Canis lupus familiaris: one gene and its partner. The protein of the gene in region 1 interacts with the protein of each later gene in a biochemical or structural test. Links are inferred from orthologs where the notes say so. Each region holds a gene or a part of one and is shown on either strand. Other genes may lie near its edges.

Region 1 (10,286 bases):
TGATAGACACCTAACTCTGGGAAATGAACAGGGGTAGAGGAAGGGGAAGTGGGCAGGGGCTTGGGCTGACTGGGTGATGGGCACTGAGGGGGGCACTTAACGGGATGAGCACTGGGTGTTATGCTATGTGTTGGCAAATTGAACTCCAATAAAAAATTTTTTAAAAAAACCAAATGGCTATGTATGGAAACGGTGTATACATACACGTATCTCCTTGCTGTGTCAGGTGAAAGGCTTAGAAGCAATAATACCTCAATAGCAATGACCACACGTAGCACTCAGATCTTGGTTTCTAATACCACTCTCCAGTGAAAAGAACTAGGGCACCTTGGAAAAATGGCTGATTATAGGGTTGGGGGAGGAGCTTAGATCCAAAATGGTCCTAAAGTATCTTACAATGCCTGAAAATAAGAAAGTGCTAAAAAACAGAACAGAAGAACAAAAATCCACAATGATGTCAAATGGATACAGTAGCCAAGTGAAAGATTTCCCAGTGGCCAAAGCTGGAAAAATCTGAGCAACAAAACAAAGTAGTATTGGATTATAAGCCAAAGTATAAAATAAATATAAGTCCATGGGATCCCTGGATGGCGCAGCGGTTTGGTGCCTGCCTTTGGCCCAGGGCGCGATCCTGGAGACCCGGGATCGAATCCCACATCGGGCTCCCGGTGCATGGAGCCTGCTTCTCCCTCTGCCTGTGTCTCTGCCTCTCTCTCTCTCTGTGACTATCGTAAATAAATAAATAAATACCTTTAAAAAAAAAAAGTCCACACTGATGTAAAGGTTTGAATAGAGAATAGACAAATCTCCTGTACAGAAGAAATTCGAATAATTTATTTAGATACTTCATCCCTAATAAGGTGGAGCATAACTACCACTCTAAGTGTGGCCTGTGCATAGTGGCTTTCTTCCAAAGGCTATAATATGAAAAATAGAAAAAAGGAGTACTTTACAGTGGAGAAGCCAAGTGATCAGAATTAACAGCAACTGGGAGAAGTCATATTGACAGTATGCACTGTTGATGTGTTGAGAATGGCATCTTGACTTCAATGGTTTTCCTCCCAGGAGTACATTACCTTAGTCTAATCATGAGAATACATCAGACAAATCCCAATTGAGGGATGTTCTACAAGCTACCTGGCTGGTAATCATTAAAACTGTCAAGGTCATTAAACTGTCATAGCTGAGAAGAGCCTAAGGAGACATGATGACTAAGTGTAAGGTGGTGTCCTAGACAGGATCTGGGAACAGAAAAAGGACATTAAGAAAAAACTGAGGGAATCTGAATAAAGTAGGGCCTTTGGTTAATACAAACGAATCCACATCAATTCATTAATTGTGATAATGTTCCACACTCGTCTAATATGTTATTGATAGGGAAAATTGGGGATGTGGTATATAAGTCTTTATAATCATTCTATAAATCTAAAATCATTCTAAAATAAAATGTTTATTAAAAAAGTCTACAGGAAGGGTATGTATTCCCATAGAACAGCGACATTGTCCCTTTTATTATTCTATAAAATGGTCCATTAACATTTTTTGTTTCTGAACTCTTTGAAAGTTGCAGCAATTGTCGCTTGCAGACATTAAAGTGACATCCTGCAAGAAATTTTAAAAAGTTCTCAAGGAGGGAAATAGTTGAGAGAAGGGGTATATAACATTGTCATAGATCTTTGAAGTTTTGGAGGATTATCCTCTAGAGTACCTTAAATCTTGCTGGTGCCTTGGTGATGTTCTGGTTCTCTTCCAGGACCCTTCTAAACCTCTGTGGTTGGATTATTTCTGCCATGTTGGTGGTTATACCCTGTTGGGCAAATGATTGAGACAAAGATCCCAGTTAGTTTAGTTTTCTATTGTTTTAATAAATTATCACAAATTTAGTGGTTTAAAAAAAAACCAGTAAAGGTATTATCTCAATCTTTAAAACAAAGATATGGGACGCCTGGGTGACTCAGCGGTTGAGCATCTGCCTTTGGCTCAGGGCGTGATCCTGGAGTCCTGGGATCGAGTCCCACGTCAGGCTCCCTACATGGTGCCTGCTTCTCCCTCTGCCTGTGTCTCTGCCTCTCTCTGTGTCTCTAATGAATAAATAAATAAAATCTTTAAAAAAATAAAAAATAAAACACAGATATATTTGATACATTCTTATTACTATTTTCATTTTTATTGATAATAACTTATCCAGGTTTACATCGTACTAAGAGGTAGACTGCGGTAGATGGTCTTTAAAGATGGCCATCATATTAGCCTTGCACTGCTTTCTCCAAGAATGGTATCTGAGAGAGAAATAAACATCTTGTTGGTCACTATTATTTCGGATCTCTTAGGGCAGCTGAAGCTATATCCTTAACTAATAAGGCCTCCAAATATAGCCATTTTCCAGCTTCTATTATTTCTGCCTCTGGAATATCATACCTGTCCACCCATCATCTCTATTCTTACTGTCATCCTACTAATTCCTTTTTTTTTTTTCTCTCAGTTACCAAAAGAGCCTTCAAACTCAGCTGGTCTCCAATCCAGTGGTTTTCAAGGCAATTTCGCCCTATAGGGAGTATGTGGCAGAGTTTGAGGACAGCTCTGGTTTTTACAATTGGGGGAGAGGTTTCTAGTAGCATTTTGTGGATAGATCAGGGATGCTGCTAAACATCCTACAAGGCATACATGAGTCCTCCACAACTAAGACTCAGGAAGCCCGAAATGTCAACAGTGCCAAGGTTGAGGAACCCTGATCTAATATATCCCCTACACTCAATAGGTGATAGGTTCACATTTCAGATCTCAGCTATGCCCCTTGTGGTGTATATCTGTCAGACTCATGGCTTCCTACCGTCTTTTGAATGGCCTTTCTGCACTGAGGAAATTCCAATTATTTTAGGTCCTGCCTTTCTAAGGAAGAGTTTAGACCCCCAATTTCAGTCTCCTTTGCAGCCAGGACTCAGACGTGGGCCTCAGTCTCCCTCAATTAGATGCCCCCTATGAGCCTTTGATTTAGAAGTAAGGTGAGAAAATAGGCTCTTTTGGAAGCTTGGCATTTTGTTGGTGCAGGAGGCTGTAACAACTTGTGGCATTTGAAGGTGGCAGCCATTCTGCAGTGGTTGTCAGGGTGACAGCAGTGTCATCCTGGGGCGGGGTGCGGCAGCAGCAGCAGCTGCAATCCCAATCAGTCATAGTAGTTTCCTCACCAGGCCAGTTCTTCAGCGTGGTTCTGAGTTTCACTTCTGGAATTAGCCCGGAACCACTTCTTTAGTCCTTCACAGAATTCCCGGAGCTATCCGGTATCCTTTTTAACATGTTCCCTGTTAGTCAGCCAGACTCAATCTCTATTGCTCAGAACCAAGAAACCTGATAAAGAATCCCCTGCTTAAAACTCTGCATTGGCTTCCCATACATTCTAGAATGTGTCTCAAATCCTTTGCTTAGCTCAAAGCTTTATCTGGAAAAGTACCCACTCTGTCCTTCCCTCTGGTCACACTGAGCCACCCTGCTCCTACCAGCCTTCCTTAATCTCATATTGCTTGCCACTAAAGAATTTAGGGGCACAATCACTCTTCTGTATGTACCCCACCCCTCGGGATTGTTCTTTATAATAAAAAAAATCATTACACTCTACTACAAGAGTTGATTCATTCAACTGTAAACTCTGCACTCATTCTTTGAGTCCCCAGGCACCTGGAATAATACCTGGCCCAAAGTAGGTGTTGATGCCTGTTTGAAGATCAGGACGTGGACAAGTACTGCCACCTACTGGGAGAAACTTCATTCAACTCTAATAATGATTTGGACAATGGCTAGCATACAAGGATGAAATCTGACCATTCCCTAAGTTATCATCATTGTTGTCCGACTCCCCAGGATAGGGTTCTCCCAGGCGGCTCCCAGTGATCCCTGTCCAGTGCTATTCATGCCCTTGGGTTGATCCTCCCACACTGAAGGGTTGGCTCTAATGACAGAAGTGGTGGTGCCTGCCTTCCGAGGCTAGAGCACAAAAGACATCGCAGCTCCTGCTTTGGTCGTTCCGGGACCACGTGTTAGGAGGGAGGCCAGATGCCGTGTCGCGGGGACACTCCATTGGCCCTACGGAGGGGTCCACGCCGTGGAAACCAGGCCTCCCGCCCACAGTCGGGGGAGCTCTCCTGCAAGCAGGTTCTCCAGCCTGAGTCAAGGCTTCAGGTAACTGCAGCCCCGGCCTACATCTTGCCTGGAATCTCTAGAGACCAAGACAGACCCACCCACCCAGCCGTGCCCATACAGAACCTCTGGGACAATTAATATTCGTAGTTTTAGGCTGCGAAGCTTTGGGGTGATTGCTGAGCGACACACTACTCCTCTCGTCTCCGACACAGATCAGGGGACCACAAGCTGTTTCATATTTTGCTGTTCCACGAGGAGACGGGCAGAGCCTGGGCTGCACCGCAGGCTTCTCAGAGCCGAGGCCTGCGGCTGGAGCTGAGCGCCGCGGAGCGCAGGCGGCACGAGCCCGGCACGCCCGGGCCCGCAGAGCGGCGAGTCACGCACCCCGCAGCCGCGCCCTCGACGGAACGTCCTCCGCGGCCGCCTGGGAGGAGCCGGCACAGCCCTGGCCACGAAGGGGCCGCGCCGCCCCCGCCCCCGCCCCGCCCAGGCCCCGGCCCCGCCCCCGGCCCCGCCCCCGCCCCGCGTGGCGGCCGCGGCACCTGCGCACTGCGAGCCTCTCACGCCCAGGCGGCGCCGTTGCGCGCCGAGTCATCGATCGCAGAACGCCGAGCCGCGGGGCTGGGCGGGGGCCGCCCGCCACCCGCCCGCCCGCGGGGTGGCTCCAGGGGGCGCCCTCACGCGAGGGGCAGGCGCTCCTGTTCCAGAGACCGGCCGGCAGGGGCCGTGGCGGGGCCTTCTCTCCGCTCCTCCTCGGCACCCTCGCGGCTCCGGTAGTCGCCCCCGCCCCCCCCGGGCCCCCGGGCCTCCGGCCGCCGCCATGAAGCTGCGGGTGCGGCTCCAGAAGCGGACCTGGCCGCTGGATCTGCCCGACGCCGAGCCGACGCTGGGCCAGCTGCGCGCGCACCTGAGCCAGGCCCTGCTGCCCTCCTGGGGCTTCGGGTAGGCGGCCGGGCGGGGCGCGGGGGCGCGGGGGGGCGCGGGGGGCTCCCCGCCTGCTGCGGGCGGTCACGTGAGGCGGGGCGGCGGGGCGGCGGGGGTAGGGCCCCGGGACTGTGACGCGCGGAGGCCCGGGCGGCGCGGGCGCTAGCGCTGCGGCTCGGCGGCCCCCGGCTTGCGGCCGACATGGCCCGGCGTCCCGGGGACCCGGTCCCCCTGCAGGGTGAGCCGTCGCCTTCGTTTCTGCCGCAGGGGAAGCCGGGGACCGGCCGGGGCGGGCGCGGGGGTTCGGCTCCGGGGGGACTTTCCCGGGCTCGGTGGGGTCGCAGGTCACCGTCCCCGGCGGTCGCAGGGTTCCGGGGAACACGTCGGGAAAGTTCCAGAAGTTAGGGACCGGCCCGCGCTCCGAGGCCGCCGTGAGCGGGCTGGAGGCTGCGCCGGGCGGTGCGCGGCCCGCGGCGGGACCCGGTTCAGGGTGTGGGTGCTGCGGTGCTTCTGGTTCCCCGGCCGAGCTGTTGCTTTTTTGCTAAAACTAAGGTAAACGTGGGTCTTGGGGTGACCCTGGAGGGCTTGCGGTTTGGGGGCAGTGACGTTGAGAAATCAAGGACCGGAATCCGCTATTAATTTAATGGGGCTGCAAATGAGACTTCGTTTCCACCGAGTGTTTTCCGGGGATGACAGTCTGGGGGCCGAGGGACAAAGCTAGGGGTGGGCCTCTTCGCGAACTGAGCGAGCGAATTGGGCGTTTGAGCGTGCTGAGGAAACAAGGGTAGTCGCTGGGGCTTTCTAGGTGAATTCTTCAAAAGGAAACCTTTCTGTTAATTAAGCGGATTTTTTTTTTTTAAGATTTTATTTATTCATGAGACACAGGCAGAGGGAGAAGCAGGGTCCCTGCGGGGAGCCGGGTGCGGTACTGATCCGGGCACCCCGAGATCACCAGCTGGGCCCCCCCCCCCCAGGTGCCCCTAAGTGGGTCCTTTTTCTGAGACTTTTATAGATTTTGACTTTATTTTTAGGGAATAGAATAAAATGAGGCCATGTTATGAACTTGTCACCTTTCATTTTTCATTTTCATTTACTATATTAAAAGTAAGCCTGTTTTTTCTCCAAATCAAAAATGAGATTTGAACTGTTGAGTGTTGTATTAAGTGACACGCCTATTGTTATTTCCTGGTGGTAAGCCTAAGCATTTTGTATGTTAATGTCATCACCCCACCAGAAATCTCAAAAGGACCTTCTTTTTAAAATATTTTTTCATATGTATGTATGTGTATTTCATTAATATTTTTTTTTTTTTAATTAAGGGCACTCCTGAAAGGACTGTTTAAGAGCCCAAGTTAGTTTCTCCTTTGGGTTTGTTTTTATAGTTGAGGCTGGTTAACTGGAAGGAATGTAAGCTTCAGCTTCTGAAAGTAAATTCATTCTTCTGAAAATATGTTCACTTTATAATAAATGGGTAGTTCTAAAATACAACGGTAGGACACTATTATTTTTTAAGTGTCTTCACTGAGCAAGTGGATCTGGGTCTGACATGAATATTTTTTAAAGGCCTGGTGTTTCTAAGATAGCATTTTCTGATGAATTTGAATTTTTTCAGTTTTTAACCCCTCCACTGGAAAGTTATATGTTACTTTAGAAGTAGCTCTTCCCTTTTCCTAAATGGGGAGGGAAGTCCAGCATTTTTATTAATTATATGGTTCTTTAGCTTTTCTACAGGTGGTTGTTTGGATGAACATTGTATTGACATTGTTTGAAAAAAAAAAAAAAACCTTTTGCTGTGACAGATGATCCATAAACACATAGTTCATATGAGACATTTTTCTCTTGGGATAGTGTTTTTTTGGGGGGCATCTTCAGTATTTATTCATGGGTTTGAAAACAGAAGTATAGCTATTTATTTCCTAATAAGCAGGAGTAGTTTCTAAAATTTTAGTAATTTCTCTACCAAAGACACTTTAATTGGTAAGAAAAAGTGTTTTTACATGTGAAAGAAAATGAATTATTTTGCGTACTTTTGAAAATGCAGCATTGCAAGAATAAACAGAACATGATTTTCAAATCCTTGGTTAACCTCTCAAAAAGTTAATGAAGTTAGCATTGCTGAGTCTAAGTGTCTTATAAAATGTGCAGCGATTTGTTAATTACTCCGCACCACTATGTGATGAAATGATGGATATTCTCTCAAATCAGAGAGCCTATGATGTGGAAGGGAGGAGAGTTTGTTTCAGGCTAATTTGAGCTCCTGTTTAGCAGTGGACTTTGGGATTTGTGCTGTTGTCATTATAAAAGACATCATACATAACGTTATCAGTAACAAAGGCGACCTTGTACTTAACAGTGGGAGGGATGCATTTATACTCGGTCCTCTATATTCTCATGTTTTTGTGATTGTTAGTATTTATCTTGGACATGGGTCTAGTGTTTTGGAAGAGACATAGCTGACTGTCCTGTAAATACATTGACTAGGGAGCCCTTATTTCAGTTTCATTTCCATCTTACCAACTGATGTTTGTTGGTTGCAGGTTTTTGTTGTTGTTGTTGGTTGTTTTTTTTTTTTTTTTTTTTTTTTTTGAGGATTTTATCTGTTTGTTCATGAGAGAGAGAGACAGAGACACATACAGAGGGAGAAGCAGGTTCCCTATGGGGAGCCTGATGAGAGACTTGATCCCAAGACCCCAGGATCACGATCCTAGCCAAAGGCAGATGCTCAACCACTGCGCCACCCAGGTGCCCTGTTGGTCGCATTTATTCCACAAATACTTTTACTTGCCAAGAGCGGGAGATACAGTTTTGAACTGGACAGATAACGACCTTATGAAAAACTTAAATTCTAGTGGTGGGGGTGGAGAAGAGATGATAAATAGGGAATTTTTAAACAGTGATGTTAAAATAAAACTGAAACAGAGTGGAATAGAGTGATGGAGGCTAGGTGGAAGGAATATCAGAAGAGGTGGTATTTGAATTACTGGAATGATGAGAGTCAGTCCTTTGAAGATCTGGAAGAGCAAATGCTGAGGACCAGAGGCTGCAGTGAGGTTGATTTGTTTTGAAGAAGGGATAGAAAGCTTATATTGGCAGAGAACAGTAACTGAGGGGATGGAGTGGATGTGGTAGGAGCACTGGGGAAGGGTCAAATGTTAAGTGTCGAAGGCCATGTTAAAGATTCTGTTCCGGTTTCAAAATAGAAGCCCTTGGAGGATTTTCAGCAGAGGAATGACGTGATTTGTATTTTAAAAGGGCTATATTTCATTGACTGAATCTTAAGCTGCTGTCAATCTTAAGATTTATGTTGTTTTATGTAATGCTAAAGGGGAAAATGCTGGCAATTAAGTTGTGATGTGTCATCAATTTTTTTTTGTCATCAATTTTAAGAAGCATCCCTGTTTTGAAGATAGCATAATTACAAAAGATGTAAAATATGTATGTTAGAATTGATGAGAACATGGATGGATTACTGATAGAGAATTACCATATTGTGTCCCCCAGGCTAGAATTGTAGCCATTAGAGATCTATAACCCAGGGAATGTGGTGCTAAGAACAAATAATTTTGATAGTTTTTTGTAAAGCTTTGGCTTCCTTTTTATTTTTGTTTTCATTATTTTATTCTCCTAGGATCATAACATGTACCTTACGTATGTTCCCAGGTAATGGTAGGTAGCTCTTACTATCCTTATCCATCTTTCTTGGCAGTTCTGATACCCGGTTTGCAATCACATTGAACAACAAGGATGCCCTCACTGGAGATGAAGAGACCTTGGCTTCATATGGGATTGTTTCTGGGGACTTGATATGTTTGATTCTTGAAGATGCCATTCCAGCACCTAACTTACCTTCATCCACAGATTCAGAGCATTCCTCACTCCAGAATAATGACCCACCCTCTTTGGCCGCCAGCTCCAATGGGTCCAGCATACAGAATGAACAGCCCAGTAATTCATTCCAAGGACAGGCAGCCCAAACTGATGTCTGGAATGAGGACAATATGGTAGGTATTAATAGCAAAATGAGAAATGAGGTGGTTGACAAAGCATACTTGAATACCTCAGTTGGATTCTGTATCAGTCAGGATAATTATTAGTAGTAGATTGTAGATTATAGTCTTGTAGAAATTTTTTAAACTGCTAAATGCCTGGACCATTACTTGACTGCCATTCGAGAGAACCCAGTTTTTACCTGTTTATTTCGTTCAGACCTTTTCTCCTTCAGATAAGTTGTCCCTTGGCTCCTGTTGCTGCCTATGAGCTTGTGATTCCCAGCCTCACCACTCTTGTCTGCTCTACTCGTTCAGGCTATCTAGAGTCCAGTTATTTCCAAATTATTTGCAGGACATTTATTACCTGGATTTTAAGCGCTGCTGTCTCACCATTTGTGCCAACATCAATTTGGAAATATGAACTAATGTTCTCTTCTCAAACCAGCCATTCTGTCAGTGGCACCACTGTTTTCCTTGAGTTTAAAACCCTGGAGTAGGGATCCCTGGGTGGCGCAGCGGTTTGGCGCCTGCCTTTGGCCCAGGGCGCGATCCTGGAGACCCAGGATCGAATCCCACATCGGGCTCCCGGTGCATGGATCCTGCTTCTCCCTCTGCCTGTGTCTCTGCCTCTCTCTCTCTCTGTAACTATCATAAATAAATAAAAATTAAAAAAAAAAAATAAAATTAAAAAAAAAAAATAAAATAAAACCCTGGAGTGATTTTTGATGCTTTATATCCAACCTCTTAACAAGCCATGTCAGTTTTTCCTTTCCATTCCAGGCTTCCAATGTCTGTCCTTCAGTCTGCTTTTTGTGTTCAAGTTTTCCCTGCACAGTTTTGATTATGTGGTTCCCTTGCTTGTCCCGTAACTATGTCACTGATTCTACCTGTGCTTATAATTTTTGAGCTGAAAAAGACCTGTCTGTGTTTAACCCTATCATCTTAGGAGGAAAATGTTGCCTCTCTTCCTGTACCCAGCTTTTAAGGTTTTTTGGGGCTAGTTTGTGTTCTTCCCGCCAGTGAACTATCATCTCCAGTCAGACTCCTTTATCAGTTTCCCTGTACCAGCCAGCACATTCATATGTTCTCACTGGCGCGCACACACACACACACACACACACAGAGCCTACCCACTGTTTCATGCCTTTGCTCTTGCTATACCCCCAGCTGGGAATGCATGGCCTTTCCTCCCTCTCCTGTCTCTGCCCATCTTCCAAGGTCCTGCCAGCCACAGCCCAG
Region 2 (10,227 bases), on another chromosome or scaffold:
GCTTGGCAGTAATTTGAAGTATTTTACTGTATAAAATCAAATGATCCCTATTTTTAGGAGCACTTAGGTGGCTCATTTGGTTAAGTGTCCTACTCTTGATTTTAGCTCAGGTCTTGATCTCAGGGTTGAGTTCAAGCCTTGGAGCCTCTCTCTGTGTCTCTTATGAATAAATAAATAAATAAATCTTTAAAAAAATAAATTGTTGGGCTTTTATACTGATTTGTAGCAGTATTTATATATTAAGTTTACTAGCCATTGATTGCATCTGTTGCAAATTTTTCTTTGCAATTTGCCATTTGGCCTTAAGATTTTTTTTAAGATTTTATTAATTTATTCGAGAGAGAGAGAGAGGGAAAGAGAGAGAGAGGCAGAGACACAGGCAGAGGGAGAAGCAGGCTCCATGCAGGGACCCTGATGTGGGACTCGATCCCGGGATTCCAGGATCATGCCCTGGGCCGAAGGCAGGCACTAAACCGCTGAGCCACTCAGAGATCCCCCTGGCTTTAAGATTTTAAGGTTAATTGTGCATTCACTAATTTTATGAACACAATGTATCAATATATTATTCTCTCATGACTTCAGAATTTTATGTCATCACTAGAAAGGACTTCAATCTAAGATAATAATAAATATTTTCCCATTTTTTTTCCTTCTCACACACTGATGGTTCTATTTTTATGTTTAAATTTTTAATCCGCCTGGAATTTATTTTAGTGTAGGAAGTAAGAGAGAGTTCTAACTTTACTGTTTCCTGGTGAATGGCATGAAATACTTCCTTCTGCTGATGAACTGGTATGCTTTTTCCTCGCAGACAATACAAATCACATAACTGATTCCATTTCCCCTTTTGCTATTGTGGTAGGAAGATCAGAGACAAATCCACAGTTAAGTACAGAAGTGAATTTCATACCTACATCCCAATTTTCCCTGATATTAATCTTCTATTTGTTTGCATTTTTTGTGATCCTGCCTTTATTTTTCAATTTTATGAGATATATTCTTATCAGGTTCCAAATATCCAGTAGAAAATAAAGTAGGCAGTAAATGAACACCTAAGCTCTAACTCATCTGGGCCTGTCATTTCTTGCTCTTCCTTCCTTGGCTGGGAGGGAGAGAAAATACAAATAGAGATGAGAGACACAGTCTGCCTCATGTCTCCCAGAAGCACCAGCCTGAAAACACCCACTCATAAGCCAGGTAAGAAATCACCAGTGGAAGCTTGGGAGGCTCACATACTTAGGCCCACTAACCCTAACATATGTATTAGTGATTCACAGGGTTGTATAGTGCTGACATGATTGGAGTTGGCAAGCTTTTCCTGTAAAAGGCCAGATAGTAGATACTTTAGGATTTTCAGGCTAAATGGTCTCTTTGGCAACTACTCTGCCAGAATAAGCATGAAAGCATCCACAGACAATAAGTAAATGAGTACAGCTATGTTCCAGTAAAACTTTATTATTGGACACTGAAATTTGAATTTTATGTAATTTTCAAATGACACAAAATATTTTTCTTACTTTTTTCAAGTATTTAAAAAAGTGAAAGCAGTCTTCTTAGATTGCAGGCTGTAGAAAAACATCAAGGGTCAGCAAACTCTTCCTGATGCAGAGCTTGGATGAGGAAGTTTATCAGGAATATGTACAATTGTCAGCTAATACTTGATTGACAATTCAGTGACCTCCTTTAGATCAATAATTCTACATCTAGAAATTTATTACAAGGAAATAATTTTGTAAATTATTTTTGTATAATTTCGTAAACAATTACAAATAATTAACAAATACAAAACAAAAACAAAAACAAACAAAAAATTATTTTGTATAATTTTGTAAACAAAAATCTGAAACCGAAGACTGTTATCCCATCCTGGATTATAACAATGAAAAAAAAACTGGGACACATCCAAACATCCAATAGCATAGGAAATGGTTCAAAATTCTGAGGCGGGGGCAGCCCAGGTGGCTCAGCGGTTTAGCGCCGCCTTCAGTGCAGGGCCTGATCCTGCAGACCCAGCCAGGATCAAGTCCCACATCAGGCTCCCTGCATGGAGCCTGCTTCTCCCTCTGCCTGTGTCTCTGCCTCTCTCTCTCTCTCTCTCTCTCTGTCTCTCATGAATAAATAAATAAAATCTTTAAAAAAAATTCTGAGGCCATCCAAAACATGGAATGCTATGCAGCCATGACAACAATTACCAGGTGGTTCAGAAAGGGAAAAAGCAAATGGGGTCAAATACTAATATTTGGCAAGTCCAAATGCAGGCTCTATGGGTGTTCACTGCCAACTTTTCTGTAGGTTTAAAATGTCAAAATAAAGTTGGTAACATGTTTTTAAAAAGTAAAAAAAGGGGGCACCTGGGTGGCTCAGTCAGTTAAGCGTCTACCTTCTGCTCAGGTCATGATCCTAGGGTCTTAGGATCAAGCCCCAAGTTGGGCTCCTTGATCAGCTGGGAGTCTGCTTCTCCCTCTGACCCTTCCCATGGTGCGTGTATGCTCTCTCTCTCAGATAAATAAATAGAACCTTTTCTTTAAAAAGTAAAAAATGCTTTATGAAATGTAAGTTAGTAGATTTGCACAGACCTATCTTCAGTTCTTCAGAACTCTGTGTTGTTTTGTGTTAAAGATAATAAACATGGGGGGATCCCTGGGTAGCTCAGCGGTTTGGCGCCTGCCTTCAGCCCAGGGCATGATCCCAGAGTCTCAGGATTGAGTCCCACATCGGGCTTCCTGCATGGAGCCTGCTTTTTCCTGTGTCTCTGCCTTTCTGTCTCTCATGAATAAATAAACAAAATCTTTAAAATATATAAATAAAGATAATAAACATAACACCTCTTTTTTTCCCCATAGGAAAATGGTATAGATTAACTCAATAATAGTTGTCTAACTACCTGGTGTCTATTTCAATCACACGAAATGTAACTTTAACTATATGTAATATTTGAAGATTTACAAAAAAACATTTTAAAAAATTACATGTCCTTTCCAATCATCTTGTTCTTAGGGCAAAGAAAAGCTTGACTTGCTTAGGTTTTGAGCATTTGAAAGAAAAACTTGCCTTTACACACAAAACACACAAAGTATCTGAGAAGACATCACTGGCATGAGTGGGGGCTCTCGGCCCTATAGGCAGGCATAGCATTTGAGGGATTTGGTATCTGTGTTCTCCTTCAGGCTCAGCCAAGACTTGCTGGGTATGATGCTATTATTTGAAAATGTAACATGGGAAATAAATTCATTAACTTGAGTGCATACAAATAAATAAAAGTTTATACATTTAAATAAAGACTCAGGAACATTTCTAACTACAGAATAGCCGATCTTGAGCAGAGGACTTCAGCGACCCGCCACCTGATGCCTCTATTAGACGAGGTAATAGACATAGTGTTTTGTCAATATCTGCTTGGATCCTAGTTATGGATGGCAGGTTGCAAACTGGAGTTACCAAAGCTGAGTTTCAGAGAATCTGTCTCCGTTTAAAAAAAAAAATTTAATGCTCACATTCATTCCCATTACTGGGAATCAAACCCAAATCTCCCGTGCGAAAAATCAAAATCCATGGCGACAGTTCCCGGGATGTACTCTCCTTTTTACAAACCAGAACCATAACCAATTCTTGCCCGTCTGCTTCCGAAGCTCTGACTTTTAAATACTACACGCTTCTCTCTCGCCACCTGTGCGCCCCGCCTCCCCCAGGAACCCGCCAAATCCCATTAAGGCCCGCCCCCGCGAGCCACGCTCAGTCCCCACAGGCTCCGCGCTGCCCCGTTCCCACGCTGCGCGGCCGGGAGTACACTCGGTGGATTCCCTAAAGCCCCGCCCTCCTCTCCTCCGCTTCGCCCCTTTCCAGCCCTTCAGAACCGCCTTTCCCACCCGGCTATTCGGTTGGCCCGCGCCCTTGTGGTACGTCATTCACCCGCGCCACCCGGAAGCCACGGTTTATAGCAACCGTTCTTATTGCCGGCGGCTCTAAGGTGAGGGCCGCGTTTGGGTGTCCCTGGGTGGCAGAGTCCCAGAGTTGGGAGGGGCAGAAGGCGGAACCCCGGCCGGAGCCGAACGAGCCCACTCCCGCTGTCGAGGGGGTGCAGATGTACTGTGCCTGAGGCCAAACTGTGTGGTCAACGTGGTGTGCTCCGCTCCCCATTCCTTAGGAGCCCATCATGGCGACGCCCCCTAAACGGCGGGCGGTGGAAGCCACGGGGGAGAAAGTGCTGCGCTATGAGGCCTTCATCTGTGACGTGCTACAGCAGGACCTGCGGTGAGTGGCAGCGTGGAGGGCCGGGCGTGTGGAAGGTTCCACGTGGGGGGGCGGGGCGTCCAAAGTCAGGGTCTAGCCTTCTGATTGGTGGGAAAGGCATTTGGAGTCCAGCCCCGTGCGCCGATCCGGCGAGGAGGGGCGACATCCGGGGTGCTACTGGGCTGGGATGTGGCGGTTCTTGTAGAGGGTGTGTCCGCGCCTGTCTGGCCTCCCATCTCACTTAGCCGTGGAGCTAGATTCTAAAGCGGGAGTTCTTAGGTTCGAATCCTTGGCCTGGCCCCTTCGCCATCTGTGTGAAGACGTTGTACGCTGCCTCGACTTTGTGTGCCTCAGTTTTCTTATCTGTGAAATGGGAAAGTTCATGGAACCTTCCTCATGGGGTGGTTTTGAGTTTTTAATGTGTTCCCCCCTTGTAAAGGATTTAATGTGAATACTAGGGGCTCTATGAGTATGAAAAATTGTTACTATCACTATTAATCTGAGCAGGAAGTAGAGTGTTCAGAAGCAGGATAATGAACATCCTGAAAGGGATGGAAGATTTTTCTAGGGTGAGAATGGGACACTTTTTTTTTTTTTTTTGAGAATGGGACATCCTGATTGGACGGAATGTGGTAATAGTACTAATAAATAAGAGCTAAAACATATATAGAGCTTAGTTTTTGGTTAGGTGCTATTGTAAGTGCTTTGTAGTAAACAGTTCTCTTAATGACTTTGTGAGGTAATACTTGTCGTCCCTTTTTTAAAGATAGGGAAATTGACTCCTAAAGAGAAAATGAGTCCTAAAGAATTTGCTGAAGTCACACAACTAGTAAAAAGGAGAGCCTAGATTCAAACCCAAGCAGTCTGACTCACAATTCAAATCAACTTCTGCACTAAAATGCTTCTTTAAGGCATGGTGACATGAGGGTCTCAGTCATAATATGAGGTATTCTGACAGGTCCAGGGCTTCCTGTTGGTCACCATTTTCCTCTTGTCCCATCAGAAAAGTGCTGGACCATCGCGACAAGGTATATGAGCAGCTGGCCAAATACCTTCAACTGAGAAATGTCATTGAGCGGCTTCAGGTAAAAACAGCCAAGGTTAGGGACCATTTTGATGTGTTTGGGCAAGGGAGGGGGATGGGAGGAGAGACCCCAGACCAAAACCTGTCAGCTGACCTGAAAGGTGACCACTGACCCCTACCTCTTTTTCCCTGGCCCCACAGGAAGCTAACCCCTCGGAGTTATATATGCAGGTGGATTTGGGCTGTAACTTCTTCGTTGACACAGTTGTGTGAGTGTCTACCTGCCCCTCTGAGCCCACAGGGCTCAGCTTCCCCCTTCCTTCATGCAACAAATATTTTTTTTTGAGTATTTGCTATGTACCAGACACTGTGCTAGGTGCCGGGGATGTGACAGTGAATCGAATAGGACAAAACCCCTGCCCTCTCAGAGCTTCTAATTTGGGGAAGGTGGGAGGAGTGGAGTAAAAAAAAATTGCCAATAAACTGTATAGTATGCTAAACAGTAATAAAGACTTCCCCCACTTCCTCTAACCATTGTTTCCTCAGCCCAGACACTTCACGAATCTATGTGGCGCTCGGATATGGTTTTTTCCTGGAGTTGACACTGGCAGAAGCTCTCAAGTTCATTGATCGTAAGAGCAATCTCCTCACAGAGTAAGTCCATTCTATGAAGTGTCTAAAATACCACCATTTGCAACATCCTTTTCCCTTTCCCCATGGCTCTCTGAGATGATAGATACTTAAGGGCCCATTTCTCCTCCTCCCCAGGGCTAGGGCTGAGGAAAGTAGAGATGCAAAGCTCAGCCCCAAGAATAGCACATAGGAAGCACTCCATAAATGGTCTTGATATTGCTCACTCACACACACATTTGTTGGCTGTTCTATGCCAGGTTCTGTACTTGGCAGTGGGGAGGCCACAGTGAACAAGACAGAAGGGTTCCTTGAAGGCCTAATCTTGACCAGATCCAGAAGGTTTTGGCCTATAAATCAGTAAAACAAGTTACCTCCCGATTTCACCTCCTCCTAATTTTCTTGCTCCTTCACTGTGCTCTCACCACACTGATCTTCCTGGGCTTCTTGAAACACCCTCAGAGTGATCCCATCTTAGGGTAACCGCGCTCTCTGCCTATAACATGCTTTCCCTGGGTACATGCATAGCTTCCTTTTTCCTAACTCAGTTTAAGTCTTTTTTTATATAGTTTTTTTAAAGATTTATTTATTTATTCATGATAGACACACAGAGAGAGAGAGAGAGAGAGGCAGAGACACAGGAGGAGAGAGAAGCAGGCTCCATGCAGGAGCCCGACTCGAGACTCGATCCCGGGACTCCAGGATCGCGCCCTGGGCCGAAGGCAAGCGCTAAACCGCTGAGCTACTCAGGGATCCCCAGTTTAAGTCTTTTTTTAAAAAAAAATTTCAATTCGCCAACATATAGTATAGTTTAAGTCTTTCTTAAATGTCACCTCCTCAACGAGGCTGTCTGTAACCTAACTTTAAAATTGCAACCCCTGGGGGCACCTGAGTGGCTCAGTTGGTTGAGCATCTGACTCTTGGTTTTAGCTCAAGTCATGATCTTGGGGTCGTGGGATCCAGCCCCATGTCAGGCTCTGCGCTCAGCAGTGAGTCTGCTGGGGATTCTCTCCCTCTGCCCTTCCCCATGCATGTGCTTGTGCTCTCTTTCTGTCTCTCTCTCTCAAATGGATAAAATCTTTTTTTAAAAAATTGCAGCCCCTGGCACTCCTCATTCCCCTCCCTTGTTCTACTTATGACCTCTTAATGTTTGCTGTGAAATTTACTTCTTTCTAAAATTCCTTGCCTTCACCCATTAGGATGTAAGCTTTACAAAGGGAGATATTGGGATGCCTGGGTGGCTCAGTGGTTGAGCATCTGCCTTTGCCTCCAGAGTTGCTGGATTGAATCCCACATCAGGCTCCTTCATGGAAGCCTGCTTCTCCTCCCTCTGCCTGTATTTCTGCCTCTCTCTCTGTCTCTCATGAATAAATAAATAAAATCCTTAAAAAAAAAAACAAAGGGAGATATTTTGTCTATACTCGCAAGTGACCAGAGTAGTACATAGCATATAGTAGGTACTCTGTTTGTTGAATGAATTTAAAAGGGTATCCTAGGAACAGATTGAGGGGGGATTGAAGCACATCTCTGGTGGTGGAGAGGAAGGTAATGTAGGGAGAAAGTATGGGCTCCAGTTGAGTTTAAGGCTTTGTGCAGGGAAGGGAAATTGGAAGTGTGGATGAGAGGTTTGAAATGTAGCCAGGAAAGGCCTTCCGGGGAAGTGACAATTGAGTCTCTTGGTCGAGTGAACAAGCCATTGGGGCTTTGTGGGGAGAGCATTACAGGCAAGGGGACCAGTGTGAGTGCCGTGTTAGCAGAATTGCCAAGATTGGCAAACATGCCACAAGAGGGGATACCAAGCAAAACACTTAGATTAATACCATCTTACAAGAGTGAATACCACTTATCTAAAATGCCTTCTAGGTCTGTTTATGCCTACATTCATTTATTCCAGAGTTGCTTCTCTTCTGGTTTTAGTAATTCTTCTCTTTTCAAACCATTCCAAGGTTTCCAAGTGTTAGTAGACCCAAAAGAGCCTCAGATCTGCCGAAATTTCTTTTTTAAGATTTATTTATTTATTTGAGAGACACAGAGTGAGAGAGAGAATGAGCGGGGTGAGGGGCAGAAGGAGAAGCAGACTCCACTGAGCGGGGAGCCTGATGCGGGACTGGATCCTGGAACTCCAGGATCATGACCTGAGCTGAAGGCAGACACTCAAGTGACTGAGCCACCCAGGTGCCCTCTGCTGAGATTTCTAAATCTTGGTGATCAGACCAATTAGTGAAGGGGTCAAGGGGCCTGCTTTCATGGGCCAACACAGTTCTGAACTAGTGGTCATTCAGACCACATCCATTTTTTTTTATAACAGAGCTTTCCTTGTTATGTCACGGAATTCCTGAGCCTTTCAGATAGAGATTTTCATTTTTTGAGACTTGATATCTCTCCCCCAAAATGTATTTAAATTGTCAGTGCCTTCCCACTTGTCTGGTCTTTTTGATATATTGACTTGGTTTATTGGAATGAGAAATGTGATTGGATCTCTTATTACTTTATTATCATTAGGAGGGCTTCCTAGAAATTTAATCTTCCTAGGAGATGAAGATTTGAGTCTGAGTAGCTCACTCTCCTTTTTAAAATATTTTGTTATTTGGGACACACCTTGAACTAACTTTCTTTCGGGTTATTTTATGACTGTCAGCCAGTCTTTCTTTTAGCACATTTCTTTGGGGGAGTGGGAGGATCAGATCTGTGTGTATATTCTTTCCTGATTATATAGAAAGGAGAACACATCCACAGACATGTAACTCTAGAAGAGACAGAATAGGGGCACCTGTCTGGCTCAGTAGCTGGAGTGTGTGACTCTTTATCTTAGGGTTGTGGGTTCAAGCCCTACATTTGGTGTAAAGATTGCTTAAAAATAAAATCTTTTTTAAAAAGGAGAGAGAACAGACAGTAACCATTTGAGTATTTATACTGCTTTACCTATTAAATCAGTAGCAAAAAATGAAGCATCTCCTGTGTGTTACAACTAGCATTTGGTGGGCTTTGTATTTTTCTCCTTTTTTAAAAGTGTTGCAACTCATAGCCTTTCCTAAACTAAGCTTGTACCATTAACTAATTTTGTTCTCTTTATTGATGTTCAGATTGTCCTTAGAAGCCAATCAGGTTCATTACTCTGTTCTTTGAATTACTACCCCAGATATTCTTGAAAGCATTCCTGTTCTCGGGCAACAGTGCCATGCTTCATTGATTTCTTGTCTTTAAACATAGACTCAAACCATCTCCTGAGGACTTCAGGTTCCTTTGAATGGAGTAGTCTATTCAGTTATTTATTCAGCATATGTTGGTGCCTACTATGTGCTGCATACTGTTTGGTTCCTGGGGATACAGCAGGGAACAAAGCAGATCAGTCTGTGTTCTCTGCCCTTACATAGCTTACATTCTAGTCAGGGGAGTCAGACAATAAAAAAAGAAGTAAACGATGTAGTAGGTCACAGGTTGGCAGTGCTACAGAGAACAGCCCGGAATGGAGAGGAGAAACATTCCCCAGAAAAAATTTTTTATGACTTTGTATGATGACAAATGGTAATTAGTTTTACTGTGGTGATCGTTTGACAGTGTATCCAAATATCTGATCATTATATTATACCCCTGAAACTAAGGTTACATGTCAATTATACTTTAGTAATTAAAAAAAGGAGGAGTGCCTGGATGGCTCAGTTGGTCAAGCCGCCAACTCTTCTGCTCAGCTCTTGATCTAGGCTCAGGGTCCTGGGATCAAGCCCCATGTTGGGCTGGGGGGGGGGGTCTGTGCTCAGCGGGGAGTCTGCTTGAGGTTTCTCTGTCCCTTTCTGTCACTGCCCTCCCTCTCTCTCTCAAATAAATAAATCTTTTAAAAAAATTTTTAAATAGGAAAAGAAACATTGCCTAGGATGGAGCAGTTGCAATTTTAAACAGAATGCTTGATTGGCTGTAAGGTGTGAAAGTTTTGGGCTGAACAACTGGAAGGATGGAGTTGCCATTATCTGAGAGGGAGAAGATAGAGGAGGAGCAGATTTGCAGAGGAGGATCAGGAGTTCAACCTAGGACCAGTTAAGTATGAGGTGCTTATTAAACAGTGAAGTGGAGTTTTTGAAGAAGGAGTTAAAACTCCCAAGGCTGGAGAAGGGTCTGAACTGAAAATATAAATCTGGAAGATACCAATATCTTGGTATTCAAGATATGGGTTCATAGTGCTGTATTTTTTTCCATTTTAACATTCTATGTTGTTACCTTCTACTCTCCTTACCATATCTAATTTGCCTTAAATTGATTTCTGCTTGAACAGATAGCTGAGCACAACAATGTCTGCCTCCCTTAGGACAGTATCAAGACCCTGTGTAAACTAGCCCCTTCCTACCTCT

The links.
Region 2: of the proteins of FBXO7 (region 1) and UXT, one has a biochemical effect on the other in vitro, tested with the Homo sapiens proteins (2 studies listed by BioGRID). The link is inferred for Canis lupus familiaris from reciprocal best matches to the Homo sapiens genes FBXO7 and UXT.

The regions. Positions count from the first base shown.
Region 1 is NC_049231.1:32,001,458-32,011,743, reverse strand, and holds the start of FBXO7 (F-box only protein 7), read left to right. Parts: upstream 1-4,746; 5' UTR 4,747-4,954; coding exon 4,955-5,076; intron 5,077-5,168; exon of another isoform or gene 5,169-5,259; coding exon of another isoform or gene 5,260-5,296; intron 5,297-8,764; coding exon 8,765-9,059; intron 9,060-10,286. UniProt on the Homo sapiens protein: Substrate recognition component of a SCF (SKP1-CUL1-F-box protein) E3 ubiquitin-protein ligase complex which mediates the ubiquitination and subsequent proteasomal degradation of target proteins and plays a role in several biological processes such as cell cycle, cell proliferation, or maintenance of chromosome stability.
Region 2 is NC_049260.1:41,476,353-41,486,579, reverse strand, and holds the start of UXT (protein UXT), read left to right. Parts: upstream 1-3,807; 5' UTR 3,808-3,967; intron 3,968-4,144; 5' UTR 4,145-4,153; coding exon 4,154-4,251; intron 4,252-5,233; coding exon 5,234-5,330; intron 5,331-5,455; coding exon 5,456-5,523; intron 5,524-5,800; coding exon 5,801-5,908; intron 5,909-10,227. UniProt on the Homo sapiens protein: Involved in gene transcription regulation. Acts in concert with the corepressor URI1 to regulate androgen receptor AR-mediated transcription. Together with URI1, associates with chromatin to the NKX3-1 promoter region.